7 linked regions of the Canis lupus familiaris genome follow. The protein of the gene in region 1 purifies or fractionates together with the protein of each later gene. This does not show direct contact. Links are inferred from orthologs where the notes say so. Each region holds a gene or a part of one and is shown on either strand. Other genes may lie near its edges.

The links.
Region 2: the proteins of NAPA (region 1) and STX4 purify together in Homo sapiens (affinity purification with mass spectrometry; 4 studies listed by BioGRID and IntAct, with this or other methods). This does not show direct contact. The link is inferred for Canis lupus familiaris from reciprocal best matches to the Homo sapiens genes NAPA and STX4.
Region 3: the proteins of NAPA (region 1) and STX12 purify together in Homo sapiens (affinity purification with mass spectrometry; 4 studies listed by BioGRID and IntAct, counting the BioPlex papers as one, with this or other methods). This does not show direct contact. The link is inferred for Canis lupus familiaris from reciprocal best matches to the Homo sapiens genes NAPA and STX12.
Region 4: the proteins of NAPA (region 1) and STX7 purify together in Homo sapiens (affinity purification with mass spectrometry; 4 studies listed by BioGRID and IntAct, counting the BioPlex papers as one, with this or other methods). This does not show direct contact. The link is inferred for Canis lupus familiaris from reciprocal best matches to the Homo sapiens genes NAPA and STX7.
Region 5: the proteins of NAPA (region 1) and VTI1A purify together in Homo sapiens (affinity purification with mass spectrometry; 3 studies listed by BioGRID and IntAct, with this or other methods). This does not show direct contact. The link is inferred for Canis lupus familiaris from reciprocal best matches to the Homo sapiens genes NAPA and VTI1A.
Region 6: the proteins of NAPA (region 1) and BNIP1 purify together in Homo sapiens (affinity purification with mass spectrometry; 3 studies listed by BioGRID and IntAct, with this or other methods). This does not show direct contact. The link is inferred for Canis lupus familiaris from reciprocal best matches to the Homo sapiens genes NAPA and BNIP1.
Region 7: the proteins of NAPA (region 1) and SNAP29 purify together in Homo sapiens (affinity purification with mass spectrometry; 3 studies listed by BioGRID and IntAct, with this or other methods). This does not show direct contact. The link is inferred for Canis lupus familiaris from reciprocal best matches to the Homo sapiens genes NAPA and SNAP29.

What each region holds. Positions count from the first base shown.
Region 1 is NC_049222.1:109,227,202-109,230,701, forward strand, and holds part of NAPA (alpha-soluble NSF attachment protein), read left to right. Parts: intron 1-1,405; coding exon 1,406-1,522; intron 1,523-3,500. UniProt on the Homo sapiens protein: Required for vesicular transport between the endoplasmic reticulum and the Golgi apparatus. Together with GNA12 promotes CDH5 localization to plasma membrane.
Region 2 is NC_049227.1:17,349,086-17,353,141, reverse strand, and holds the start of STX4 (syntaxin-4), read left to right. Parts: upstream 1-1,256; 5' UTR 1,257-1,605; coding exon 1,606-1,635; intron 1,636-1,823; coding exon 1,824-1,925; intron 1,926-2,036; coding exon 2,037-2,136; intron 2,137-2,272; coding exon 2,273-2,347; intron 2,348-2,643; coding exon 2,644-2,714; intron 2,715-4,056. UniProt on the Homo sapiens protein: Plasma membrane t-SNARE that mediates docking of transport vesicles. Necessary for the translocation of SLC2A4 from intracellular vesicles to the plasma membrane.
Region 3 is NC_049223.1:71,947,104-71,950,603, forward strand, and holds part of STX12 (syntaxin-12), read right to left. Parts: intron 2,965-3,500; coding exon 2,921-2,964; intron 1,412-2,920; coding exon 1,306-1,411; intron 1-1,305. UniProt on the Homo sapiens protein: SNARE promoting fusion of transport vesicles with target membranes. Together with SNARE STX6, promotes movement of vesicles from endosomes to the cell membrane, and may therefore function in the endocytic recycling pathway.
Region 4 is NC_049222.1:25,688,564-25,692,063, reverse strand, and holds part of STX7 (syntaxin-7), read left to right. Parts: intron 1-1,064; coding exon 1,065-1,158; intron 1,159-1,838; coding exon 1,839-1,976; intron 1,977-2,775; coding exon 2,776-2,828; intron 2,829-3,389; coding exon 3,390-3,486; intron 3,487-3,500. UniProt on the Homo sapiens protein: May be involved in protein trafficking from the plasma membrane to the early endosome (EE) as well as in homotypic fusion of endocytic organelles. Mediates the endocytic trafficking from early endosomes to late endosomes and lysosomes.
Region 5 is NC_049249.1:23,792,230-23,796,499, forward strand, and holds the start of VTI1A (vesicle transport through interaction with t-SNAREs homolog 1A), read left to right. Parts: upstream 1-1,470; 5' UTR 1,471-1,650; coding exon 1,651-1,744; intron 1,745-4,270. UniProt on the Homo sapiens protein: V-SNARE that mediates vesicle transport pathways through interactions with t-SNAREs on the target membrane. These interactions are proposed to mediate aspects of the specificity of vesicle trafficking and to promote fusion of the lipid bilayers.
Region 6 is NC_049225.1:40,187,212-40,191,473, forward strand, and holds the start of BNIP1 (vesicle transport protein SEC20), read right to left. Parts: upstream 2,801-4,262; 5' UTR 2,732-2,800; coding exon 2,648-2,731; intron 182-2,647; coding exon 89-181; intron 1-88. UniProt on the Homo sapiens protein: As part of a SNARE complex may be involved in endoplasmic reticulum membranes fusion and be required for the maintenance of endoplasmic reticulum organization. Also plays a role in apoptosis.
Region 7 is NC_049247.1:30,795,901-30,800,147, reverse strand, and holds the start of SNAP29 (synaptosomal-associated protein 29), read left to right. Parts: upstream 1-1,447; 5' UTR 1,448-1,625; coding exon 1,626-1,862; intron 1,863-4,247. UniProt on the Homo sapiens protein: SNAREs, soluble N-ethylmaleimide-sensitive factor-attachment protein receptors, are essential proteins for fusion of cellular membranes.

The sequences.
Region 1 (3,500 bases):
GCTCCACCAAGGAGAGGTGGGCAGGCAGGGATGGGCTCCTAGAGATCAGAGAGGCTGGAAGATCTAGAGGAGAGCTTTGAAAATCTAGCCCATCAGAGCTCATCGAGGCTGATCTCATTATGTTACCCTGCCTTGCACATCAGCAAGATTGGATCAAGGAAATCGAGCAGAGACAGGTTTGGGATCCAAGGAGGAACTTTCTTACCCAGGAGACAAAGCCTGGAATGGGACCCTGGAGGCAGTCTGGAAGCCCAGGGTGAGACAGATTCTCCCCGTTTTCTGAGAATGCTTTTAGTTTCCTGGAAATTGGAAGGGTTTTCCCTGAGCTGTCACCAAATACATTGTACACAAAGCCACACACCATGTGTAATTTCATGCTCCCAAACTAATAAGGTGCCAGCAGAAAAAGAATATTTCTTCATCACGTAGATGTCACTTTGCCCCTAAAATTTGTCACTTCCCCAGGCCCCAGCCATTCAAACAAAAGTGCTGGGCTGTTTTCTCATTTTTCTCCAGTGATGCTGCTTTTCTGGAAATTATGCTGTCACGTTTGAGCCCTTAAAAAATAAATCAGACATAATGGAAACTGGGCTGCTTTGTCTTCCCTACTCCTCTGAAGTTACAGGATGGGGCCAGGCGCTCTGGTCCCCTTCCAGTTTAGGAATTCTGTAATCCCAATTCAGCTGGAGTAGGATGAAGGGAAGCGTAACCTCAGGTGGAGACTGGCTGAGCCGGAAGTGGGTGTTGGAGCTTCCAGTTAGCACAGTCCTATCCCTGCTCTCCAGCCTTAGAAGAGGAGAGATGCCATAGTCTCCTGCAAGCTGCAAGGCAGTATGGGAGGCAGACTGGTGACCCCAGTGGCTTGTGGCCAGTGCAGGATAACAGCATGCAGCTAGGCAAAGGACAGAAAAGGCTTCCCATGTGGTCTCCACCAGCCTCTGCCCGTGGGCGCTTGTCCCCATACACTGGAGTTCCTGCTGTCCCCTGGGGCCACTGCTGGGGTTAGCTGGGGATAGTTTATATATCCTGCAGATCTCTTGGCCCAGTCTGCCTTCTCCTTGGATCTTTAGAAGTGGGTGGCCCTGGAAAACTGGCAAAGGCTGGGATCAGGGCAATGGGATTTTAGCTGACCTCAGCCTGGCTCTCTCTATATATACATGGGGCTCAGGGGCTTCTACCCAATGCTGCTTCCTCCTCCCTCCCTAGTCTACCTCACGGGTCTTCAGAAGTCTCAGTCCAGGGGCCAGGAAGCCTGAGGTTGAGGCCTTCACCTCAGCTCACCCAGGCCAGCCACTTCCTCACTCAGGCCCCACTGCATTCTAGAGAGCCACCCCCAGGGCAGCGTCTGCATGGCTCCTGACAAGCGGAGCCCCACTCAGGCTGAGCTCACTGTTTTCTGTTCCAGCTGCCGGAAACGCTTTCTGCCAGGCAGCCCAGCTGCACCTGCAGCTCCAGAGCAAACATGACGCGGCCACCTGCTTTGTGGATGCCGGCAATGCCTTCAAGAAAGCTGACCCCCAAGGTGAGCCTCCAAGGGTCACTGGGGCCCTGGCTGCCCCCAGCACAGACATGACTGAACCCTCTTCAGGGAAGGCTTCGGGTTTCCGCGAGGCTCCGGTTTTCTCCAGGGGCCCAAAGCATACCAGAGGCTGGCAGGGAGACGCTTGTGCTTGAACTTCAGAATTGGCTCCCTTCCGGTTGGCATTTGCATCCCCGCTCCAAGCCTCTGCCGCCTCCCCCCCCCCAACCCCTACTTTGTGTGCGCAGCTGATGGCTTCCCTCCTGGAGCCTGGGAGCATTTGGGAGTGGGAGTTACATTGCAGACCCACCGCATGCCAAGGAGAGACGAAAATCTGTTCTGTTGTCAGAATTAACATGCAGAAGGGGGTGGGAGGGGGTTCTGAGACCAGCCAGGTAGGAGTTGCTGCCGAAAAAGGAGCGGAAATTATCCTAACCTGGCTTCCCTACACCCTGGGGGGGGGGGGGGGGTGGTGGAGAATCAGAACAGAGCCCTGGATAGAGTTGCCAGAGAACAAGTTACTTAAAATGAGGAAGTGTTGGGGATAGAAGCCCAGTTTGGGACTGACTCATGGTGAGAAAACCATTTGTCCCACTGGGCTCGTCCTGAAGCAGAGGCACAGCCCAGTGGGTACCAGAATTTTGGATTTCAGGGAGCTGGGATTTTCTTTTTTTTTTTTTTTTTTTTTAAATCTCTGTGCCAGACACAGGTTGCTGACTTTCTTAATTTTAGCAAGCCAAGACATTTTTTTTAGGAGACAATCTATTGTTACTATTCTCTTGTGAGAGAATAGGGAATAGGTGAATGTTTTAAGAAAAAAAGAAAAAAGGAGATGCCTCATCTTGAAATAAAGGGGCTGCCCTTCCCAAGAGGACAGTTTACACCCAGGTCCAGAGGTGTTTGTAAGGCTTGGTGAACCCTAGTTCCCGCCCCAGTGCTGGGGAATTGTTGGCAGATCTGTTACTACTACCAGGGACACGTAGTTCCCAGTCAGGGATTTGATCTCTGCAGACCAGATAGCTTTTCTGTGTCCACAGACTTGACCAGTCACTGCCCTGGAGCTGAGTATCTCACAGAGGTTGGCCTGAGGGTCACATGGCGGGCCCAGGCTCACCAAGAGCCAGAGGGGAGGCCCTGTGACCAGGTGGGTCATGTGATGATGAGGACTCAGGGCAGCCTCAAGTTACCCAGGGATGTCTGTCCCCCCTCCCCCTGCCAACCAGCTTTCCCTTTGGTCCCTGGGGAACTGGCGCTTCCTGGAGATGCCACCGTAGCATCTGTGATGTTCAGCTGCTGCTCCAGAGTGACTGGAAGGACTCGTTTCTGGGGCGGGAGTTGAGCGTCAGGCTTCATGACACGTGCATGGCGCCCTTTGCTCTTTAAACAAAAACCCCAGCACTTCCCTTGGATGGACCTCCACCCGACGCCGCCGTGATGTTGTGCCTGTGATGTTGCGTCTATAGGTCCTTCAGTGGCTTTTGATCTGAGCTTTTTCAGCTGGAGGCAAGGCTCTGCAGGGGGTGTGTTGGATGCTGGGGCCTTGGGAAGGGCCGCAGCCCCATGCCTGGCCTCAGGAAGTGCAGAGCATGGCAGAGGTGTCCCATGCCAGTGAAAGCAGCAGCAGTTATGTCTGCTGATATGGCCATGGCCATTGTGGGGCCCAGAGGCCAGCTTGGTTTCTCCAGGGATCAGCAAGCACGGTTTATTGCCCTGGGAGCTGAGGCACAGGGAGGGTGTGTTTGGGATGGGAATTACCTTTCAGGGAGCAAGAGAAGCAGTGATGAGGAGGGGAGCCTAATTTGGGCCCAGCCCAGAGTGAGTACCTTAGCTGGAGTGCCAGGTTCTGGCAGGGAGGGGCACGGGAGCAGTGTCCCAGCACTGCCGCCTCACAGCCTCCCCACCCTAGTAATGGTTTGTGGGGCATGGGGCTACGCGTGATCTCCTAAGTCTAGATGGAGCCCGTTCCCCTGTAACCTCAGGC
Region 2 (4,056 bases), on another chromosome or scaffold:
GTCTTTCTTTTGCTTGAACCTTCATGTAAGTTCTCTGGAAAGAGTCCTGGGATCCAGGAGACCTGATTTTTATTCTGGCTATGCTGAGACTCACTTTGTGGCCTTGGAGACTGCTCTCACATAATGTAAGTTTCACAAGTGAAAGGTTTTTGTCAGTTAGGCCTTGATTTATCTCCGACCCCTACAACAGTCTCTGGCCATAATAAGTGCCCAATAAATGGATATCCATTGAATGAATGACCATCTAGTGGGCTAGGGCAGTGTCACCGTGAGAGGCTGAAGCCCAAAAGACAAGCTTTATCTTCAGATACATGAAAGGTTAAAGTTCTGTCCACAGATATTTATTGAGGGCCCATATGTGATAGGTACTGAAATAGGCCCTGGGGATTCAGGTAAGAACAAGACTGCGGCGCCCTGACCTCAAGAGCCCACGGTCCACTATAATGGGGAATGTGTGCAGATTTTTTTGCGGGCTTCAGAGGGTAGACCCAGATGCTAGGGAGGGAGGGAGTTAGATGTTAAGTGGCAGACTCCTCAATGTAATACAGACACTTTTCTCAGCTTTAGTTGCCCTGAAATGGTCTTATGCTCGGAAGGTGGTGAGTGCGGCGGAACTGCAGTGTTCATGCAGGGCGCCAGCCGCCCACCTGTCAGAGGCTGCGCCAGGAGGATGCGGGAGGAGAGATTTCTGCCTTGGGTGAGGTCACTTTCCACCCCCAGATTCTCTGCCTACAAAACCCTGCAATTCTCTGACGCTGGATCTTATTATTTTCTGAATCTCAAGGTCCCATGATGCTGACAGCCCCGAATTCTAAGTTCTCCGTCTGCCCACGTCCCTGGACCCAAAAGAAAATGAAGCCGAATTCAGCGAGGGTCCTACCACCCACTGCCTCAAACGGTCTCTGGGGGTAGTCAGCAGCCCCCGCCCCGCCTCGCGAAGGCTGGAGGGGCGTAGCTTGGGCGCCAGGGTCCCGGAGACGTCGTGGGGAGAAAGGTGCTCCAGAGACGGAGTTGACAGCGCCGGGGCACGTGACAATCAAAGTGTCACGTTCCGAGGTCCGCGAGGGTGGGACCGGGCTGGTCATGTGACGTGGGGGGGGCACCATGGGGTGATGTGAGATGCAGGGCCTCTGAGATTACGTATCAATGACGCACTCCCACCCGGTCTGGCAACTAGATTTCCGTTGGTAGATGCGACAGTTCCGGCGAAGGGGGCGGGTTCTCACGTCCTGGCAGCTTTGCTTCCGTTCGGGGCGCCGCAGCTTCCGACCTCAGGCTCCCTCCGGCGAGGAAGAGACGCGACCCCGTGCGCATGCCCCGATCATCCCAGAGGGGCGGGGCCGAGGCTACGGGGACGGGAGGGGGGGAAGAAAAGGGAATTCCAACCTGTGGAATCTTGGGGGGTCCCCGGGGTCGGCTGCTTCCCACTGACTGTGGATGGTGCCCGGGACGGAGCCTCTGGTGGCTCGTGGGGGGGCCCGGGGGTCCGCAGGGTGAGGGCGGAGGGAAGTGTCAGTGTCAGAGTGTGAGTGGGGTACGGGAGTTCCAAACTTAGTCTCGAGGCCCTCGGGGCTCCGGCGCCGGGAAGAGGGAGCTCGGGCCGCCATGCGCGACCGGACCCACGAACTGAGACAGGTGAGAGGGGGCTGCAGGGCTGGGGGTGGGCGGACGGGCTGGGGTCTGGCTGGCATACAGGACTCCCGGTCTTCGGGACAGGGAGGGGTGGCTGAGGGCTAGGAAGGAAAGACCCGGAAGTCTGTGAGTCCTGCGGGGAGAGAGCAACCGCAGGGAAGTGATGCCAGTGACCACCCCGGCCGTGGCAGGGGGATGACAGTTCGGACGATGAGGACAAGGAGCGGGTCGCGCTGGTGGTACACCCGGGCACGGCACGGCTGGGGAGCCCGGACGAGGAGTTCTTCCAAAAGGTAAGAGGCTGGGGTCTCCGCCTGTCTTCATGAGGGGGCTGGATGATCCGAGGAGCAGCGCGGTCCGGAGTATCCCCCATCTCCCTCAGCCCTCTCGGTCACCTTCCCCAGGTCCGGACAATTCGACAGACTATTGTCAAGCTGGAGAATAAAGTCCGGGAGTTGGAGAAGCAGCAGGTCACCATCCTGGCCACGCCCCTTCCCGAGGAGAGTGAGTGAAACCCCAAGTGCAAACGCATGCTCAGCCAGAGGGATTGTGGGGATTGTAGTTCCGTGCAGGTGGTGGCCAGGCAGGTTGGTTTGAGGTAGGAGCCGCTGTCTGGGAGTCATGGCTTTCTCTTCTTCAGGTATGAAGCAGGACCTGCAGAACCTGCGTGAGGAGATCAAACAGCTGGGGAGGGAGATCCGAGCACAGCTGAAGGGTGAGCCCCTAGGACCTCAGACAGACCCTTCCCTGTGGTCCTGCCCAGCTCCTGGTATATCTGGGGACTGTGTGGCTCAGTATTGCAAAGAAAAATACACTTGAGCTACCGTCAGAGGCTCATAATTAGTCATTTATGATAAAATATAATTCCCAAAATAATTCTGTGGAGATAAGCACCTCTCTATTGTATGGATGGGGTATGGCCCTGGCCCTGTGTCCTGGTTCCCACATGATTTTCTGAAGCCACACAGATCAAATCTCCTTCCCCACCAATCCCCTTGTGTCTTCCCACAGCCATAGAGCCCCAGAATGAAGAAGCTGATGAGAATTATAACTCAGTCAACACGAGGATGAGAAAAACCCAGGTGGGTTTATTATTCCCAGAACTAAGACATTTTGCAGGGTTTCATAGACCATTAGGTGGCAAAAGTAAGGGGAAAGGGCCCTTAGAGATCATCAAGTCCAACCTAATGATTTTCAAGTGGGGAAACTGAGGCTGAGAGAAAAAAAATCTCACCCAAAGTCTCCTGACTCCCAATCCACCTAACATCCTGTCGCCTTCTCCATTCATGAGAAGTTGCTGAATCCCCAGATGTGATCTGGGCTTGGTTGTGGAAGGCATGCTTTCTAGAAACCAACATGGTGAGTCAAGCTTGACTAGATGACAAAGACATTACTCAGGTAGGGTGTGGTAGCTAATAACCCCGCCCAGGGAAGAAGAGGGAAAGGTCATAAATGACAGGGAGCTTTCCTGCCCATATGACAGGGTCATCCTCTGCCCCATGGGCAGAATTCAAGAAATCAAGAAGAGGAACTTCCCTGGAGGGAGAAGGTCACTGAATCAACATCTTAGTGAGGAGATTTGAGGCGATCTAACTGCCCTTGTCTGGGTGCCCAGGGAGGAGTAATTTGGAGTTCCTGGAGGTCAGAGTTGGTGTAGGTGGGCCCAGAAAGTACCCTGGATTGAAGATAGGGCAGTTTGGGTATCTTACAATGATGTGGTGAAGGCAGGAGAGCAAATATGTCTCTAAGGAAGGAACTCCAAGGAATGAGCACATTGAAGGAAGCAAGAGAATGGACAAGATAAGAGGATGTTTCAGGGGGAAACTGTGGTAGTCATTGGTGTGAGAGGCTGAGGGTCCAGCCGGACCTGTAAGAGCTGGGCAATGGGCTGACCTCCAGGCATACCTTTAGTCTAAGCTGCAAGGCTGGTGTTCAGCAAGCATTCAAAGGTATTTATTGAGTGCCTACTGTGTGCTAGGCCCTTTTCTAGCTGTTTAGGATGCAGCAGTGAACCAAAGAGCCCAATCTTCATGGAACTTATGTTCTGGTGGGGCGAGACACACACCATAATAAATATGCCCACTATTTTAGAACGTAGGGTTTTTTTTAATTTATTTATTCATAAGAGACAGAGAGAGAAAGGCAGAAACACAGGCAGAGGGAGAAGCAGGCTCCATGCAGGGAGCCCAACATGGGACTCGATCCCAGGTCCCCAGGATCACACCCTGGGCCAAAGGCGGCGCCAAACCACTGAGCCACCCGGGCTGCCCAGACGGTAGTTAAGTATTAAGGGAAAAACTGAGGAGAAGAGGATTGAGAGTGACGGGAGAAGGCAGGTTGCAGTTTTAATAAGGTAGAGAAAACTTCATTCAGAAGGTGACATTGGAATAAAGATTTAAAGGCCTCTGTGAATAAATAAATAAA
Region 3 (3,500 bases), on another chromosome or scaffold:
ACATGGAGCCTCCTTCTCCCTCTGCCTGTGTCTCTGCCTCTCTGTGTGTGTGTGTCTCTCTCAGGAATAAATAAATAAAATCTTAAGAAAAAAAAACTTATGGCTATTCGTCCATTTCTAGCCTAGAAAAATAGGAATTTCACAGAGCCTAAAATAACAGTTGATGAATGAGGGAGAACAGCTGAGTATCTGGAAAATAAATCTCTAAGTGACTCTAAGGCATTTTCAGAGTTCAGAGCCACTACCACAGATGAAGGTCATTGAGGAACTCCAAGTTTCTCCCCTTTGCAAGCCCCTTCTCCTCACTGCCCTCAAGGATGACATTCTAGCTGCATGGAGGATTAAATTCTTCAGGTTTAAGAATATACTAGTCATTATATAAAGTTAAAGGTTGGAAAATCAGGTTAGAAAATCCTCAAGACCTTTCCCTCAACCCTCACCTCAAAAACTGTTCCTGTTTCTCTGCTCTAAAGTCATATCCACAACTTGGGATTCGACTTTGGGATGCACAAAAATTAAGCCAACTTTTTGGCCTGCCTTTATTCTGAGCTATTCAGACAAAGCAAAGGGGCTCTCTCCATAGAATCCCACCTGAAGTTGGCATTGAGGTCTGGGTGGGGGGAGGTCTTTTTTTTTTTAAGATTTTACTTATTGAGATGCCTGGGTGGCTCAACGGTTATGTGAGTCTGCCTTCAGCTCAGGGCATGATCCTGGAGTGCCGGGGTTGAGTCCCACATCAGGCTCCCTGCATGGAGCCTGCTTCTCCCTCTGCCTCTCTCTATGTCTCTCATGAATAAATAAATACAATCTTAAAAAACAAAGATTTTATTTATTTATCTGAGAGAGAGAGAGAGAGCTGGGGAGAGTGAGCATGAATAGGGTGCGGGGCAGAGGGAAAGGGAGAAGCAGACCCCCTGCTGAGCAGGGAGCTCAATGAGGGGCTCCATCCTAGGACTCTGGGATCATGACCTGAGCCAAAGACAGATGCTTATCTAACTGAGCTACCCAGGTGCCATGGGGTCAAAGTCTTAATGAGGAATAAAATATTTGTTTGCCTTACTCTGTTCTTCATGCATATTCTCACAGAAACCATGTAAGATATGGTAACTGAGGAAAGGATTTGAGTCTTCTCAGGCACCGTGACCAGTACCATCATAAGAGTAGTTCATATTCACCATAATTACATTAAGATATAATATGCAAATCAATAAGAATTCATTTCATGCTTTTCATAATAAATGAGAGAAAATCCAGGTGGATTAGAGTGTAGATACATGGAGTCAAAAGACACAACCTGGCTCTCACCTCCAGCTGCCGAATGGCTGTTTCTCTCTCTTTAATAAGTTCCAGATCCTGTTCAGTGATGGCCACCTCATCCTCCTGGCTCTGCATCTGGTTCCACTCCTCATGGCTGCAAGGAGACAAGCACACTAGTTGATTCTTCCTCTGTAAAGTGTGCATGAGACACTTTACAACATTTCTACTACCAGCAGGACTTATCCAAGGACATTACATGGCTCCACTTCCTCTGGTAACAATACAAAGTACTTGAGGGTCACAGTTTTCATAACTGGAGGCAAAGAGTTGATAATACCTAGAAAACAAAGTCTCAGCTTCCCTGAGCAAAACTGAGATACAGCAGGATTATGAGGGATGGGACTCCTTGCTGTTTTCCAGTCAGGGGTGCACTCTGCAATCTTGCTAGGGTTTGCTAGACAAGGAAAACAGAGACTTGAAGTCAATGAAACATACTGGTCCATCCTCTTCTAGAGCACTCTCAAAGTGCAAGCTGAGATGGTCTCTTGGGTACTAAATGGGTGGAGGAGAGCAGGCTAAGCGACCTGTCAATGCATCTCCAATTAGTCTAACAGATTTACACCTTCTGGTTTTCAGAACATTCCTTGAGGGTGTATGCTTTCGGTTAAATGCCTCTTAAGAGAAAACTAAAATGAAAAGCTACTGAAATGTTATAACTCTTCTTTCAGGTACCATATTTAGAAGAAATGCTATGATGCTAGACAACACTTTGAAAATTCAGTATTAAGCATTTTCCCAACAATGTTCATAAAGCAGACATCATCTCCACAGTATTTCCTCCATGCGCTGGAGATACAAAACGGAGTTAAGAGGGTGCCTTGGCGGCTCAGTGGTTGAGCCTCTGCCTTTGGCTCAGGTCAAATGATCCTGGAGTCTGGGATCGAGTCCCACATTGGGTTCCCCACAGGGAGCCTGCTTCTCCCTCTGCCTATGTCTCTGCCTCTCTCTCTCTGTCTCTCTTATGAATGAATAAATAAAATCTTTAAAAACAAAAACAAAAAACAAAAACGGAGTAAGACAGCACCCTGCAGGCACCCCTTTGAGGTGCTCACAGTGTAGTGGGGAGAGAGATACGTATCTTTGATAAAGCAATTTACATTCTGAATTAATATCACCAATACATTTCTATGGAATTAGTTAATTCAGTTTGGAGAAATTAAGAAAGAAGATGTCTTTCAGATGCAAACTGTTTGCTTCGTCTTGTACTACTCCTAAAAGAACGAGTTGCCTCCATTTTGGATGGATATGGTAAACAGAGATCCAAGAACTTTGAAAAACTTACTTCTGAATTAGAGGTAAAATCTTCATCTGTAGATTTGTGTATTTGTACTTATTCCTAGTGAGGCAAGCTCTCACCCCAACACAAAGACATCGGGGATTTCCCTGGCTTTTTTACTCACCTTGAAATTGTTCCTTCCATATTCAAATATCTTGGAAAAGCCCAAGGTTTTGACTTTTATTTTATTTGGTGGATTATAAGTCACCCACCCCAGGTCTCCCTTTATTTTTCATTCTTTTCCACATGATTTTGAAAATTAGAAGTAAGTAGAAAGTATAGAATCCCATCTCAACTAGCCAGCAGGTTGTACGGAAAATTCCTTACCCATCAAATGAGACGAGCTGCTCCTCTCTTTGCCTCTCCTCCGCCTAGAAAGCAGATGGCATTATTGCTGCTGTTATCCAGAAACATGCCACAGACAGACACATAAAACAATGGCTTCCTTTCGCTACAGTATAAAGAAGCAACATTCCCTTGGCTCCAACAGGATCTGTAAGATGACACAGGGCTCTGGCAATCTGTCTCAACTAGAAAATGGGTGTGAAGTAGTTGAAATCAAATCTGGGCTCAGAATGGTAACCTTACTGAATAGGATGGAGATAACACGGATCGGAGAGAGGAGTAAACAACAGTAATAGTGATAACTTATTTTATAATCTTCAGGGGGGTAAAATAAGGGAAAGAGTTGAAAACTTGCAAGGAAATAAATTTTCAGAATATGTAAACATTAAAAAAAATGGACATTTATGGCATATCAGGCACTAAAGTGGCAGACTCATTTCAAAAATCAGTCTAATGCATGTATTAAAAAAAGTTAAAAGAGCAATCTATTCCCATTAAAGTCTTTCCTTCCTTAAAATAGCAGTAATAAAAAAAAAACAAGCAAAACGAAGAAAATTTCAAA
Region 4 (3,500 bases), about 84 Mb from region 1:
AGTAAGCCTTCTTTTCAGAAATTTAGCTAAATTACAATTTCTAAAGATTTTAAAGGAATAATAAAGGTAGAAGATTTGGAAAATAGATAGAAGTAGGTTGTAATTCTTCCTTATCAGTCAAATACAGGTATCTATATCTAAAAATACTCCTATACAGTATCTCATTATTTTAAAGGATTCCAAGTATAACTAAATAAGTGTTTAAAAGGAGAGATAATATACTGAAAAGTACTGATGTTGTAATTTGTAAAGCATAACATTAGATTAAGCTTTTTTTTTAGAGTCAAGTTCTTGAGTTAAAAATCTGACTTTTTACTTTATAAGCTAGCTAAAAAAGATAGATACAGATACTGATAGGATTTACTTCTTATTGTGTTCTTTCTGTTTACAGAGAAATGCTATTCTTTCCAAAGCAAACTTAAAAATAGTAAATATAAAAACAATAGTAAATGTATATTGATTACCTCTCCCCCCACCTTTTTTTTTAAAAATCTATAAGGATATAAATGTCCAGATAGAGAAAGAAGAGAGGCTAGATGTACTCCTGAGAACAAGACAAAGTCTGGCGACAAATCCTCTTCATTTATTAAAATGATCTCCCAACAGTGGGATGCAGACAAAAGGCTCTCACCACCCAACACCTCCATATCTAAAACATCAGACATCCCATAGTCTGGCTTTGATTTGAGTCATCTTCCCTTCTAAATGGCTGCTGAGATTTATTTCTCAAAGCTTGGTTGCCCTGTGTGAGTAAAGAACTTTCCATGTAATATTTGACCAGTATTTATCAAAAAATAGAATCTGGATTTTTTTTTTTTTTAAACTTGCTCCACACCCAATGTGGGGCTTGAACTCACAACCCTCAGATTTAGAGTCATGTGCTCTACTGACTCAGCCAGATAGGTGCCCTGAAATTTTTGTTTTCATAGATAAAATTTAGAGCCACTCTATAAAATAGTGATTTTTATCAAACTATTTATAAGGATTGATTCAACTGGCAGAGTTGTAACTTAAAGAAATCTCTTTGTTCTTTGGTTCTATAATGTGTGTTTTTTTTACTTTAGGCAACAGAAGCAGCAGTATACTAATCAACTTGCCAAAGAAACAGATAAGTACATTAAAGAGTTTGGATCTCTGCCCACCACCCCCAGTGAACAGGTATCAAGCCTTAAGACATGTTGTTGATGTATTGAATGTGAAAGAAATTACATGCATTATAGGGTCTTTGAACTTTTATGCTAGAAAGGAAATGAAGGGGGAAAATTGTATTTGAGATTAGTTCACAGAACACAAAACTATATTTAATTGCCCTGGTAGTATCCTGTGGTTCAATAAAGCAAAAATTATTTCCATGCAGTTGCCCTGACCCATAATTAAGCAAGTGCTCAGAAAATGCCCCCTGAGTAATTGTTTCCTGGCCTTCCAGGACTGACTCCATGTGACACGCACACATTCATGATGTGAGGTTTCCTAGGGGCGCATGTTTATTTCCTTGCTTATCATTTAGTGGAAGTTATAGTTAGGTAAGAGTACAAGGTTTTATTTTCCTAAAAAGAAAACAAAAGAACTACTACTTCAAAATAACCTCAAAATCATGACCCAGTTTTTAAGATGAAAATTTTGGGTGAGAAATCCAACATTATGGACCTTTTGCCTCAAGATAGTACATATACATAGTACTTTAATATATTGTCAAAATGTTGCTTAGATGTAAACAGTAGGAAATTGGAGAGTGAGTGGAAACTTCAGAATAAAGAGCCAACTCGTGGCGAAACAACCTTGGTGAATTCTATAGAACCTTATACCTTGATTCTAGTAGGTTTCTCCGTTTCCTCTAGCGTCAAAGGAAAATACAGAAGGATCGCTTAGTAGCTGAATTCACAACGTCACTGACAAACTTCCAAAAGGTCCAGAGGCAAGCCGCTGAAAAAGAGAAAGAGTTTGTTGCTCGAGTGAGAGCCAGCTCTAGAGTATCTGTGAGTATTGAACAGGGCGTAATAAAGTGCATGTGCTGTTCCCTTGAAGGCCTGCATCAGCGTTTTCTTAAGTCGTAAGGATCTGTGACTGACTGTCTTGGAAGTCAATATTTGAATATTTATTTTCAGGTTTTTCTGCTCAGTTTTAAGAAGGATGACAGTTATATATTGCTGTAGTTATTTTGTCCATGTCAGGGAGCCAAAGATTACAGATTACTATATAAAAATATGGGAACATTTTGTCAGAAAAGACTAGGGCTCAGATCCTGAATGATATTCCCACTTTGGTTTGTACTAGGGGCTGTCAACCTTGCATCTGGGCCAATGTAGGAAATGCTTTACTCCTGGGTTATATGAAGATGATGGAAAGGAACAGAGTAAATCAATTGCATGAATACTGAAAATGAATATAAGCCTGAAGAAAATAAACAAAGGGATAACTTTTAGTGGAATTTTGAGTTTATCTCATTTTAAATTTCCTCAAAAACCATTGCCAGTTGTTTCCTTATTCCTTAATGTAGAGTTTCCTGGACTATATTACATTTTAATCATATAATATTGATTATTTGGCCCTTGAGAATATTTAATGAATTCCTTCCTTGTCAGCTTAGGGAAATAATTTTATTGTTATTTGAAGCACTTGACCTAAAAAGTTAGAACAAAAACATTTCTCTTTCTGTACATAGACATACACATGTGTACATAAACCCATTTAGATTATCATAAGAGAAAATGTGAGTGTTATGATGGTGTTTTTTCTTTGCCACTTCTCAATGCATTCTATTACTGAATTATCCAGGGTGGTTTTCCTGAAGACAGCTCAAAGGAAAGGAATCTCGTTTCCTGGGAAAGGTAAGAAATATAAACCATACAGATGAGAAGATGATTTTTCAAATGTGTTTTCTACCTTATGGTTCCTGGAACAGAATGAAAGCTTTCAGTTTATTATGTCATGACTATCCTAAGTTATAAATACAAAGCAATAAATTTGAAAAATTTTTTCAAAGTAATCATTTATAAAGCATATATATATAAAATATTCCAATTCGGCAGTAATTTGTAAATGTTTATACAAGTAAATTTTATTGACTTAATTATTATTTGATGGAGATTTTTTTTATTTCCTCATGTGACATTTAGGTCAACCAAGAAGAAATACCCGGTTGCCAAATGTAGAGTCCAATAATTAATAACTCTAAAAAAATAATACCAATGAAATGAAACATGAATAAAATTTGATTAATATTTCTGTTATAATCTTAAAACTTAAGAATACAAATGAGAAATTGAAGCAGTTCTCTGACGTTGAAGAAAAGACACACTATTTTGTGCTTCTTAAATAAGAAAAGAAATCCCATTACTTCCATTATTTTAATACCATTCTTTTTTTTTTCCGATGTTTTGTTCTGTTAGCCAAGCTCAACCTCAGGTACAGGTGCAGGAGGAAGAAATTACAGAAGATGACCTCCGCCTTATTCATGAGAGAGAATCTTCCATTAGGCAACTTGAAGTAAGTTTGCCGTG
Region 5 (4,270 bases), on another chromosome or scaffold:
ACAAGCGCACTGCTATGGGACGAGCGCCTCATCAAACGCCAAAGAGAATTATTTTTATCTGATCCAATGTAGGGCTCGAGTCTGAACGGTACATAAACTGGATACTTGATTCCAAAACAGTTGTTTTTATGCCTTTGTCTCCAATTTATCAGGGGAACAGTGCTTGTCCGGCGTTCAGCGAGTGGTGGGAGGAGACCCGAGAGTTTTAGAGCTGGAGCAGAGGGCTTGAGGGTTGATGGAATCAATGGCTTCCTGCATCGAAGAAGAAGAAATCTGGCCCGGAGAGGAGGCTACGTGCTTGCACCAAGCTCACAAGTAACAGCTGAACCTACACTACGAACCAAGTCGCTGAAATCCTTTTACGAAGTTTCAAACAGCCTCCAACAACCGAGGCTCGATTCGCCAGGTAGGAGGAGCCCGACACGGTCTACACGTTGGCCTGGGCTCGCGCCAAAACACCCAACTTAAGGGTCTATTTGGGCCGAAGGTTAAGAGGCGAGCCAGTGAAAGCAAAGACAGAGTGAAAGGAGGGGAGGGGACGGGCCTCGAGGAACACAGGAGGATGAACACGAAAGAAAATATTTGGGGGAAAAGAAAGAAAAACAAAACAAAACAAAACACGATGAGGAAGTGCCTCCGGAGCGAGGGACAGGAAAGGCAGGATGCAGGGCGCCGGAAGACCCGTGGAAGGGTGTGTCGGGCTGGGCAGCCGTGGATCGGCGGGAGGATCTCGGCTGCAGGGTCATAAGGGGCTTCGCGCAACAGATGCCACGGCTCGAGCCTCAATTTCCCGCCCGCGCCGCAGAACAGAGCGCTTCCAGGTTCTCGCTCGGGGACGAGCATCCCGCCCAGCGTGGTTGGTTTCAACATTCTGGAGCTTCTGGGCTCACTCGGGGGGGGGGGGGGCGGGGCGAATCACCGCCCGAATCATGATTCCATCCCTTGCCTGGACTCCCACCTCTCAGCCTGGTCCTCGGTACCCGCTCCTCGGCCATCGCATTTCCGGGGCGGCCTGGGCTCACCCGGAACGGGTCTTCTCCTCCGCCGACAACCCCGTCACGGGAAAGTCAGGCCCGCGCAAGCAGTAAAGCAGATCTCGGTTGTCCGGGGCTGCAGCGCGGAGCCCGCCGCGCCGCCAGCGCGTCTCCCCAGCCGGCGCTCCGGCCGCTGCTCTCCCGCTCCCGCCCAGTGCGCGGTCCCCGCGACAGCCACTTCCGGGAGGTTCGCCGCATCAGACTTCCCTCGGGAAGCAAGTTCCTGCGACTTAGAGCTCTATTTTCAGGAGATAGAAGGGCCAAAAAAAAAAAAAAAAGCTTCCAGTGACCCCCCCCCCCCAAGAATCCTCAGGTTTCCGAAAGCTTCTTGTTGGGGGAGGGGGGGCAGTAATAGAAGCGCTATTCTTTCGCGAATTTTTAAATCTTGAAGCCCGAGCGGACAAAAAACAACGCACCCAAGGCAAATTCCGGGGCGGGTGGGGGGGACTGTGATTGCGACGAACAACCAGGAAGCGGCCGGGTTGGGAGCTGTCCCCGGTTCTCCCCGCTCTGCTCCCGAGGCCGCCTCCCGGGGTCCTGACACCGCGTTCCTCTGTCCCGCGTGGCCCCTGCCACGACCTGGGCTCCGGCCCGGGGCCGTCACTCCGGAGCCGCCATGTCATCCGACTTCGAAGGCTACGAGCAGGACTTCGCGGTGCTCACGGCAGAGATCACCGGCAAGATTGCGAGGGTCCCCCGACTCCCACCTGGTGAGAGCCCTGACCCGGCGGGCGGGGGTGGCCCCGGGGGCGCCGAGGCTCGGGGGCGGGGCGGGGGAGCGTCTCTAAGGCGCCAGGTGGTGCCGGGGCCCTCGCGGAGCGACGCAGCTGCACTCGGCGCAGGGTTAAGGGACCGTCCGGGCTGGCTCGTGGAGCGCCGGGACGCCCCGTCCCTTGCACTACCTTGGGCACGTTTCTCGGAGTCCTCGGTTTTCGTGTTGTTTTTTTGTCTCGTTTGTGAAAGGGAGATGCGAGTTTTCAAACGGAGCGAGTGGATGCATCAAGATCATGGGTCCAAAAAAAAAAAAAAAATTGAGAAAACAACAACAACAACAACAACAACAACATGGGTCTGCGATACACAGTCCTGTTGTTTTGTTAGCAATGATAGTATCCCAGGTGGCAGAACAGGCCGGTTAAGAGCCACGGTGCCAGGGTTCGGATCCCAGCTCTGTCACTTAAAAGTCGGGGCACTTAGGAAAGTTTCTTAATTAAAAAAAAAAAAAAAAAAAAAAAAAAAAAAAAAAAACAAAGGAAAGTTTGTTAAACCTCTCTCAGCTTTCTCCTTCTTGGTCAGTAGGGGAGAGCTAGCCGTACGTCTCTCTCGTGGAGTTGTGGAGATTAAATGATTTAACATACGAAAAGCCCTGTTTTGGTGCAAGCTGCTATTAGTATCTTTCACACACCCCTCCACCCCACTTCTTATTTCTCATCCTTCTTGGGAGACCGTAACCCAATTTTCTGTAACACCTGGTACAGTTTTTCTCGCTTTAGAAATTCCACGTATCCTACCTATAAGTGTTCTTGATTTTGTTTTTGTGGGTTTTTAAATTTTTTTGATATTTTATTTATTTATTTATTTATTATTTATTTATTTATTTATTTATTTATTAATTAGAGCTATGGGCACAGGGGCAAAGGACAGAGGGAGAAGGAGAAGACTCACCCCCCGAGCAGGGAGCCGCCTGCCAAAGGGCTCCATCCCAGGACCTGGGATCATGACCTGAGTTGAAGGCAGACACTTAACCAGCTGAGCCACCCAGGCTCCCCTTGTTTTTGTGTTTTAGCATGACTTACTTTCCATGCTCAACTGTCAACTTGGCATTTACCTAGAAAGGGCTCAGAAAAAATGTTAAAGTAAATGAACCGATGAATATGATATTTGGTAATTTTTTTTTGTTATGTGAGACACTGGTTTAGGATTTATCTTTCCCTAAATACAGATTTAACTTGAGTGGTTAGCTACAGATAGGATTACTACTTTTAGCTTAGTTTTGTTAAGGAAATTGAACCATCGTCTGGATTTGGGCCTACCTGGCTCTGGGGTGTAGTGCGTAGAAAAGGGGATGCTCACTGATCTGTGAACTGGTGGGCAGCTTCCTGTTTCCCACCTCCTTAGTCAATCCTTGATGTCAGCAGTAATCTCTGCAGGACCTAAGTTGACATTCCTATTTCCCTTTCCCTACTTCCCCCAAACGTGCGTGTTTATAAATAATTTTCTTCCTTTATTTGTTTTTCTTTCCCCTTCCCTCACCTATTTTCTATTAATAGGGACATTTGCTTGAAACCAGGATCTCTGAACTTACACCCCACTCATCTCCTGAAGTCCCAGTTAGTTCTGGAGAGGTGGATGATGTCTTAAAGAGGTTTATGAGCCCAAGTGAGGGAACAGGAGGAGAAAACCAAGGTAGCATATATCACCGAGCTCTGCTGCCTCAGAGATTTTTGTGGAGAAAATAGCTGATGGCCTCATCACTTCATGATACATCACCTCGCCTCTTCTCTTCAGTTCTGCCTTTCTCCACTGCCCAAGACCATCTTGATTTTTATTATCCTTGTTGCTGGAGACTACTTCCTTTGACTTGAGTCCCAGAGTTTCAGGACTTGTGATTTTAGTTGGATTTTTGTTCATTTTTAATTGTAACAGTTTTAAAAGAGAAGCATTTTCTATTTGGGCTAATAGATTTTTGTACTGGGAAGATGTTTTATATAAAGTAACAAAGTCATCCATGGGTGCAAAGTTGTAAAACCTGTTTCTAAGAAAACAGATTTTGTTACAATTGATTTTTTTTTCTTGTCTTTATGTTTTAATGTAACTATTCTTACTATATAGAAGGAAACCTTTAAGTGCCTTAAAAATAAAGGCTTGACTTGGCCTTGCATATGGTATAATGTAAAGCCCAAACATAGGAGCTCCAGTGGAATTGAAAGAAGACTGTTTAGCTGGCAATGGAAAAATGCTTACTGATTTGACTAATTGAATGACAGTAATTCTTTAAAAATGTAGTAGTTTCCCTGTTAATAGTTACTTATGCTTGCTCCCTTTATAATCTGTTTCTAATTGATAAATAGAAAAGGATGAATGAAAAGTATATCCATGTCGTTATGCATTTCAGATATAGGTCTGTGGACTAACAATATGTACCACTATTTAAAAAGTATAATTAAAAGTAATTATAATCTCTTTCTGAATAGCATTAGTGGTTGATCTAGAGGAGATAAACTATAATTTACTTG
Region 6 (4,262 bases), on another chromosome or scaffold:
ACAGCTAGCTCTCAAGCAGAGGTTACTCCCAGGATAGAGCCTCCTCATTGTCACCCATTCTCCCCATCTCAGTTCTACAGCTACTCACCTGTATTCTGTGCCGCAACTGCTGAAACTTCTCTTTCACTTTAGTATTTAGTTCAGTAAGTGCACTTAATGGTCCTGAACAATCTCGAATATCCTAGGAGACAGTGAAGAGGTGAAGGGGCCTTTCTTGAGGCAAATGACATGAAATGAAACCACCTGTACAGGGGGAGTTGGCTTGAACCACCACTAGGCTGGCCTACTGTCTGTAATTCATCCTGATCTTTGCTGTTTACCTCTGCAACACGAGCAAAAACATTATCGTTTACATTTCTCTCATAACCTCTTTAATTTTGAGCAGGTACTATAATAGCATAAAAAGAAACACAACTGTCCTATTAGTTCCTAAAGTTTAACAAAATGCCACCTAGTCAGTATAAAAGGCTTAAAGCAGATCATATGTCCAACAAGAATGGACATCCAAAAGTGATACAACTTGAAAATCAGGATGCTCAATTCCTGGCATCATATGGCAAGGTTAACTTCGATCATCTATTACAAATCACAGTGTTTACAGACCTGTTCAAGGGTAGATTTAGAATTTGTTTCTGCGCCGGGACACCTGCACCCCGATGTTTATAGCAGCAATGGCCACGATAGCCAAACTGTGGAAGGAGCCTCGGTGTCCAACGAAAGATGAATGGATAAACAAGATGTGGTTTATGTATACAATGGAATATTACTCAGCTATTAGAAATGACAAATACCCACCATTTGCTTCAACGTGGATGGAACTGGAGGGTATCATGCTGAGTGAAGTAAGCCAGTCGGAGAAGGACAAACATTATATGTTCTCATTCATTTGGGGAATATAAATAATAGTGAAAGGGAATATAAGGGAAGGGGGAAGAAATGTGTGGGAAATATCAGAAAGGGAGACAGAACGTAAAGACTGCTAACTCTGGGAAACGAACTAGGGGTGTTGGAAGGGGAGGAGGGCGGGGGGTGGGAGTGAATGGGTGACGGGCACTGGGGGTTATTCTGTATGTTAGTAAATTGAACACCAATAAAAAATAAAAAAATAAAAAAATAAAAAGAATTTGTTTCTGGACATTCAAAATTACTGGGGTCAGATTTTAGAGCAGGCTCTAGAGCCAAAATATGTAGATGCAAACTCCAGCTGCAGCAATTTATTGGCTGGATAACAAAAAGTCACTCTGGTTCTCTGTGCCTCACTTTTCTCATCACATTACCTACCACATAGACCAGGTACGTATGCAAAGTATGTTGCAAAGGAGCTGGAACACAGTAAGAGCACAGTATATCTAGGTATATCATGAGAACCCCAATATCAGAGAGTACAGAAGGGCTTAAGCAATTTAGATTATGTGAAAAGGCAATCTTTTTATATGAATCCTAAATTTATTTTCTTAAAGTCAGCCCAGAAGTTTTGCAATATGTATGAATAAGTGTAGTTGAAGAAGTTTAACAGTTTGCATCAAGTTTTCTCATCTGTTTTCTGGCTTACTCATTAAATCACACTTCCTTGTACCACGATAAAGCACTACTTTGGTTTATTCTGCATCTGGTCTCCATGGAGAGTCCTACTTTCCTTCGCTTTTTGCCACAGCTAGTTGCAAAATCTGAGTCTACATCTAATGCTTAGCAACATTTTTGGAAACGGAGGAAATAACTTGCCTAAAGCCAAAGTTTAGGGGATCCCTGGGTGGCTCAGCGATTTAGCGCCTGCCTTGGGCCCAGGGAGACCCAGGCTCGAGTCCCGCGTCGGGCTCCCTGCATGGAGCCTGCTTCTCCCTCTGCCTGTGTCTCTGCCTCTCTCTCTCTCTGTCATGAATAAATAAATAAAACCTTAAAAAAAATAAAACTACTAATAAAGAGTTTAAAACTCTTGGTTTCTTTTTGCTAAATTCAAGGAACCATTTCTACTTTCCTCTTGCCTAGGCCAAGCAGTTATTGCTCTGCTGCCTTCTACCCTTAAGTGGCTCAAGGCAAGGAGTGTCCGGTACCCCATCTGTTAAACCGAGTTTCAGAGACCCCCTAAGTCCCTCGTCTAGGCCGACTTTCCCTGTCCGGTCGCAGTCTTGCCACCACCTGCCTTCTGATTCAGGCCTTGGCATTTTAGCCTTTTTCCTCATTTACAAAGTCGCAGCTACTATCTAGGTGGCCGGGGGCCTCCCGCACGACGGGGCCCTTGGTGCCCTGGGGCACCTCCGCCGGGGCGGCGGCCAGGGGAGGGCGGGGCTCGCGGCCCTCGGGGCGCCACCGAGCGCGGCGGAGGGAGGCGTGAGAAGGCGGGGCCCGTCGGGGCGACAGGTCGTCCCAGTCGACAAGTGTGCGGGGGCGACCCATGTGGCCACAGACCGGAAGCCTGGCCAGGGACGAGGGGACGCGGGAGCGTTCAGAGGAGGGCAAGACAACAGCGCGCGGAGGGAGGATCAACGCCAACGGCCCAGGAGACGGGACCAGAGGGGGCCGCCAGGGGGTAGCGGGCCGTGGGGCGGGACCAGCGACCTCCCAGACTTGAGACCGCCGAGCTCACAGGAGGCCGGTGGAGCCTGGGTTCAGGGCTACAGGGCCCGGCAGCCGTCCCGGGAATTAGTACCTGGATAAGCGCCTTCACCTCCAGGTCGAACTTGACGATCTCTTGGTTACAGATACGGACGTGGACATCTTGGGGAGCCGCCATGTTGAGGACGCCGGCTACGGGCCGCGGCGGGGCCCAAATTAAACTCGTTTTTGCGTCACCTTCGTTCCGCGTCGGGGCTTTCGGCAGCGCCCTCTAGGGACCAACCTGAGGCGAGCGAGGGTCGAGGCGAGGAGGCCGGAGGACTCGCCTCTGGTGTGGTGGTGGAAGGGAGGTGGGCGGGGGGGGACTGGGCAACACTGCTGGGGGGCACTGGATGGGATGAGCACTGGGTGGTACGCTAGATGTTGGCAAATTGAACTCCAATAAAAATAAATTAAAAAAAAAGAAAAGAAAAGAAGAAGAAGAGAGGGAGTATCGAGAGCGTTTTAACATTGGCCTCTCCCCATCTTTTACCTAAAAGGCATTCTAATGACTACATGTTTTTTGCAGAAGAGAGAGAGAGAGAAAAAAAAAAAGGAAAGTATCAATTGGGATGTCTCTGGAAGGTGGAATTAACAATTTTTTATATCTCTTTAAATTTCCTTATATTTTTCATATGTTGTACAGTGAATATAATTGTGGAGCAAATGAAAAGATGGTAAATGTTATTACTGCTTTTCACGTGTGGAATTCAAGACAGGCCTCTTCCAGCACATGGTCCAAGGGTTCTAAAATCACAACTGATCAAGTCACTTCCCCACCTCCACCTCTTTTGTAGCTCCTGGCACGTGCCTTTTGTGTACAGTTGGATTTATTAAAGCCTACCTTGCTGGAGTAGTTTTGATGGAAATAATTAAGAGCAGACCCTCAACGAACAGTGGCTCCTGCCTTTATTATCAAATAGTCCAAGGCCATCAGCCACCTCACTCCATCGCTCTCCTGGATTCCTCAAGCTGTTTTTGGATCTGTAGCTTTGGAATGTGCTGTTCCCTTTTCTTAGAATGCTTTCCCCCTCTTGCTCCCACCCCATGTGCTTCTGTTCACATCAGCAAGCATAAATTGTTAAGACCTGAATGCCTAGCTGTGTTTTTCTCTTAATCCTTCAACCAGACTTGAAATAGGTAATACCCCAGTTTTACAGATCAGTAGATGGACCAAGAGTAGATCAAAGCGAAATAAATCAAAACTGAACGTCCCTGCCCCAAAGTTACATAACTTGAAAGTGGCAGAGCCTTCACTAAAAGCCACGTCTTCCCTCAAAAACCAAATATGGCCCCTTGGGTATAGTGTCGTACACAGGGGGCTATGTGCTTGCCTATCTGTGTTTCTCCACTGCTCCACACACCATCCGTTAAGGCGTTCATCACCCCACTGCACCTAATAGGCAATGTATTGCAGGCCTTAGAGTCAACCCTGCTTGAATCCTGCTGGAGGACCCACTTCACAGCTCTGCCCCTCAGAATTCTGAGGCTAACTGGTAGAGTCACAGAGGTGGAGGATTAAATGAGGTAGTACATGAAAAGCACCAAGCACAGTGTAGTCATGTGGCATGTGTTTAAGAACTCAATGTGCATTAGCTGCTATGACATTACTGACATTTTTTGGAGCACTTCCTATGTGCCAGGCACTTTGTACTAAGTTCTTAATGTGT
Region 7 (4,247 bases), on another chromosome or scaffold:
ACCCCATAATTAATCTCATCACAGGTTGGTTGGGGAGGAAAGCTGATGTTTACTGCTCACCCACTCTACGGAAGGCCCTTTATGCTTGAATTCGTTTACTCCTCAAGAACCACTGCATTTCACCCATAAGGAAACAGGCTCTCAGAGTTGAAATAACTTGCCCAAGTTATATTATGGGAGGACCAAGAGAGAAAGTGCGGGGAACAAACAGGTCTGACTCTAAAATCTGGGTTCTTTCCACCAGTGGAGGCACACCTTTGAGTTTCCTTTCACCTTTCTCCCGAGGCAAAGAAAGTCCCCCCGGCATCAATTCGCCTTCCTCCTCTGAAGCAATCCTGAATTCAATCCTCTGCCCGCTGACACTTCATTCCTCCTCGCTGCCACCATCCCTCTTCAAAACACCATCTCCTACCAGTCTAATGCCCCCTCTAGACTCACAGAAAGACAACGCGCCGATCTGCATTTCAGAAGCTCTTTCAGATGTACTGTTTCATCCTCCCTTCACAGCAGCGTGAGGCGGGCAAAGCAGGTAAGCACCCCCCTCCTCGCCCCCCACCCCCCTTTACGAGAACAGCATCTCTCCAAGGTCACGGAATAAGCAGCAGAGGAAGTCGGGAGCTGAGCCCCTAGGGTTCGACTCTGGTCCTTTGCTCTTCCCACAGCTTCTCCCTGCCTGCCGCCCCCGCCCCTGCGATGTCACAAGGTGCCTCCTTGGCTCAAACCCCGGCCTGTGGCTCAGGTCCCTCTCGCGCCACCGACCCGCCAAGTCCCCGTCTGCCCTGCGCACTCCTTGCCCAAACCACCCCGTTACCCACCTCTCTCTTCACCGGCGATCTCCACCCACGGGCCTCCTCACCACCCCCCGTCCTGTCACAGGCAGCTGGCGAGCCCTGTTCAGCCTCCCACAGACCCTCGCCCCGCCGATCACCCGCTTTGCCGCCCCGAACCCCCTTCTCCTGTCAGCCCGAGGCCCGGGCGGCCAAGGCTACCTTCTCCAAAGACGCCGGTCTCTGCACGGCCAGGGAGCGGGCCAACGACAGGACCGTGTTGAAGTAGAAGCCCCTCGAGGAGCTGGAGCCGGAGCTGGAGCCGCCGCCGCCGCCGGAGCTGCCGCCGCCCCCTCCCCGGGCCGCGGCAGCCGCCATCATCGCGCGCGCGGCGGCGCTGCCCGCGGGCTCCTCGCACCCGGCCTGCGAGCGCCACAGCCCACGGCGCAGGCGCGGCGGCATCCGCCTTCCCCGCCACGTGACCTCTGTTGTCGACACCGAGTGGGGCGTGGCCGCGGGGCGGTCCCACCGCGGGAGGGGAGAGAGAAGCCGAGCGGTCGGCCGCGGCCGCGCGCACGGGGCGTGGCCCCCCCCAAGCCGCCGGGCAAGATGGTCAGCTCCGGAGGCGGGGCTTCCCGCGCACGCCAGGCGGAAGGAGCTCGCTCCGCGACCTGGGCGGGTGGGGCGGGGGCGCGCGGCGCTGGACGGCGAGCGGCGGAACCGCGGGGCTGCCGCGCTGTGGGCGCTCCCCGAGGGTCCCGGGAGGACCGCCTGGACCCCTGCGGGCCCAGAAAGGCCGTTCCCCGCCTTGGCCGCACACCTCCTCCTCCTGCCCAGACCGAGACGAGCGCCGGCACCATGTCGGCCTACCCCAAGAGCTACAACCCGTTCGACGACGATGCGGAGGATGAGGGCGCCCGGCCGGCCCGGTGGAAGGACGACCGCGACGTCGCCGACGGGCCCTGCACGCCCGCGGACAGGCAGCAGTATCTGCGGCAGGAGGTGATGCGCGTGGCCCAGGCCACAGCCGCCAGCACCGAGAGGTCCCTGTCCCTCATGTACGAGTCCGAGAAGGTCGGCGTCGCGTCTTCCGAGGTGAGTCTGCAGCAGAACAGGGCGGCCCGGCCGCTCTGAATTGTCACACGCGCTCAAGGAACTTTAGTCGTACCAAGAGGTGGGTATCTTGAATACTCCAAAGAGGCAGTTTGCCCCCAGTAATCTTTCTTAGTTACAGCAGAGCTCGGGCTAGAGAGATTGAGCGTCAGGTTCTTTCATATAATTGCCTGCGCAGGATTCCAGATCCAGGGGTTTCACCATTACTCCTCGAGTGACCCAGAGTGGGTGCTGCTGTGGAAGGCGTCGGAGCAGATGAGCCTTAGGTCCTCCCCTAGCGCTGACCACTGCTCCGCCTCACCCGCAGAGGTGATGAGGTCTGTGGGCAGCTGCTCAGTAAGCCGTAGCGCAAGTGTGATCGAGGCTAGGGCCTTACATTTACTTAACCAAATCCAAAGGGAGATGTCCCAGACAGTGTGTGATCTGTGACTATCCGTTTCTCCACTTCACCTTTGTCAGTTCGTCTTTCCACCCGTGGGAGATTTCAGGGACCCTGAGTGAGAATGGTTCTTTCTTAGGCACCACATTTTTTCCTCAGCCTACTAATGAAATGGTTTGGTATGGGCATTTTTATTTAAGTTCTTAAAAATGTAATAGTAGGTTATCGATTAGCTCAGCTAACGTTAATCTACAGCATTTGTAGCTTTGAAACTTAGTGGAAGCTGAAGTGTTGTTTTCTTCCATGGGTCTCTTTGTAACTCTTTTCTCTGGCAGAGTTCTTTCTGACCTGATCACTTCCAGTCTTGGGCAGTTTGAATATGTGGATTAATTTCTCAAATAGTCACCTGGGTCATTTCCCCCCTTGCCACTTTCTTGGCTATTTTCCTTCTGCACCTCTCCTGTTACAGTATCCCTCATTGGCCCATTTTCCTGTCTTTGGCTTCCTTAAGGAAGTTTAGCTGTAGTTCTTAGAGCTCATATCTACTGGATTCCTGAATGGCAAGTGTTGATTAAGGTTTGGGAGGATTACCTAAGATCTTAGGGGAAGTAAGTAGTAGAGGAGTTACTGGAGTACTGGAGGGGTCCCAGGTCCAAGGAAGCCAAGTAAGAACTGTTTGAAGGGAAAAAAAAAAAGAACTGTTTGAAGGGACATCTCTGGAAACAGAACAGGGACGCCTCTGAGTGGCTCAGTGGTTGAGCGTCTGCCTTCGGCTCAGGGCGTGATCCTGGTATTGAGTCCCACATCGGGCTCCCCACAGGGAGCCTGCTTCTCCCTCTGCCTGTGTCTCTGCCTCTTTCTCTTTCTCTTTCCCTGTTTCTCTCATGAATAAATAAATAAAATCATAGAAAAAGAAACAGCAAATGAAATGGGAAATCAGAATGATAAAAGTAGGGTGTCATGGCCTAGGATAAACTCAAATCTGGCTTTTAAGGCTAAGATTTAGACAGGAGTGAGGAGAAGGGAAAGGAAGAAAGGTAAGAAGGTTGTTCATAGGGCAGAGAGGAGCAGTGCAAAGACACTGGCCCACCACCAGAGTTCCTGGGCTCCAGTGGGGAAGTGATGCACAGGATATGTTCAAAGAAGGGACGCAGGAGGCAGCTTAGGAGCCTTTCGTGGTCAGGGGAAGTCTGTCCCTCAGAGGGAAGAAGAGTCAAAAAAAATAATAAAAGTGAGTGGTTTCACATGGATTGTGGTGACAACTCCCCTCCCCCTACGTTGCACCCAGAGGCCCTTTCTGTTCAAGGGGCACGATGAGAACACCGGTGCAGAACAGCAGCTCAGGCCTGGGAGGCTTGGACTGGGCCAAGTTGGTGTTGCTCTGAGAAGTACGGTATGATCAAGACTAGGCAGGTGACAGGCACTGTCATAAGTATGGTGACACTGAATTTTTCTGGGATTGAGTCAGTTCCCAATCATCAGAGGCCCCAGGAGGCTGGGATGGTCAGCACCCCCTCCCCACCCCACTCTGTACTCTCCAGACTACCTTTGTTTTTTGTTTGTTTGTTTTTGTTTTTAAGATTTTATTTATTTATTCATGAGAGACAGAGAGAGAGAGAGAGAGAGAGAGAGGGACAGAGACACAGGCAGAGGGTAAAGCAGGCTCCATGCAGGGAGCCTGATGCGGGACTCTATCCCGGGTCCCCAGGATCAGGTCCTGGGCTGAAGGTGGCTCTAAACCGTTGAGCCACCCAGCTGCCCCTCCAGAGTACCTTTGAATCAGTCTTTGATTCCAGTCAGAATGGGGGTGGGAACTGGGCTGGGGTTGCTGAGCTCTTCCTGCCACTCAGTGTACAGTGTGGCTCCCATCAGACCCAAGTCACCTGCTAACCTCCCAGCTTAGAGACCTGGCACTGAGCTGTGTGAAAACATGATAGGTACTTATAGAAGGTTAGGCATGTACAAATATTAGATTGGGAAGATATCAT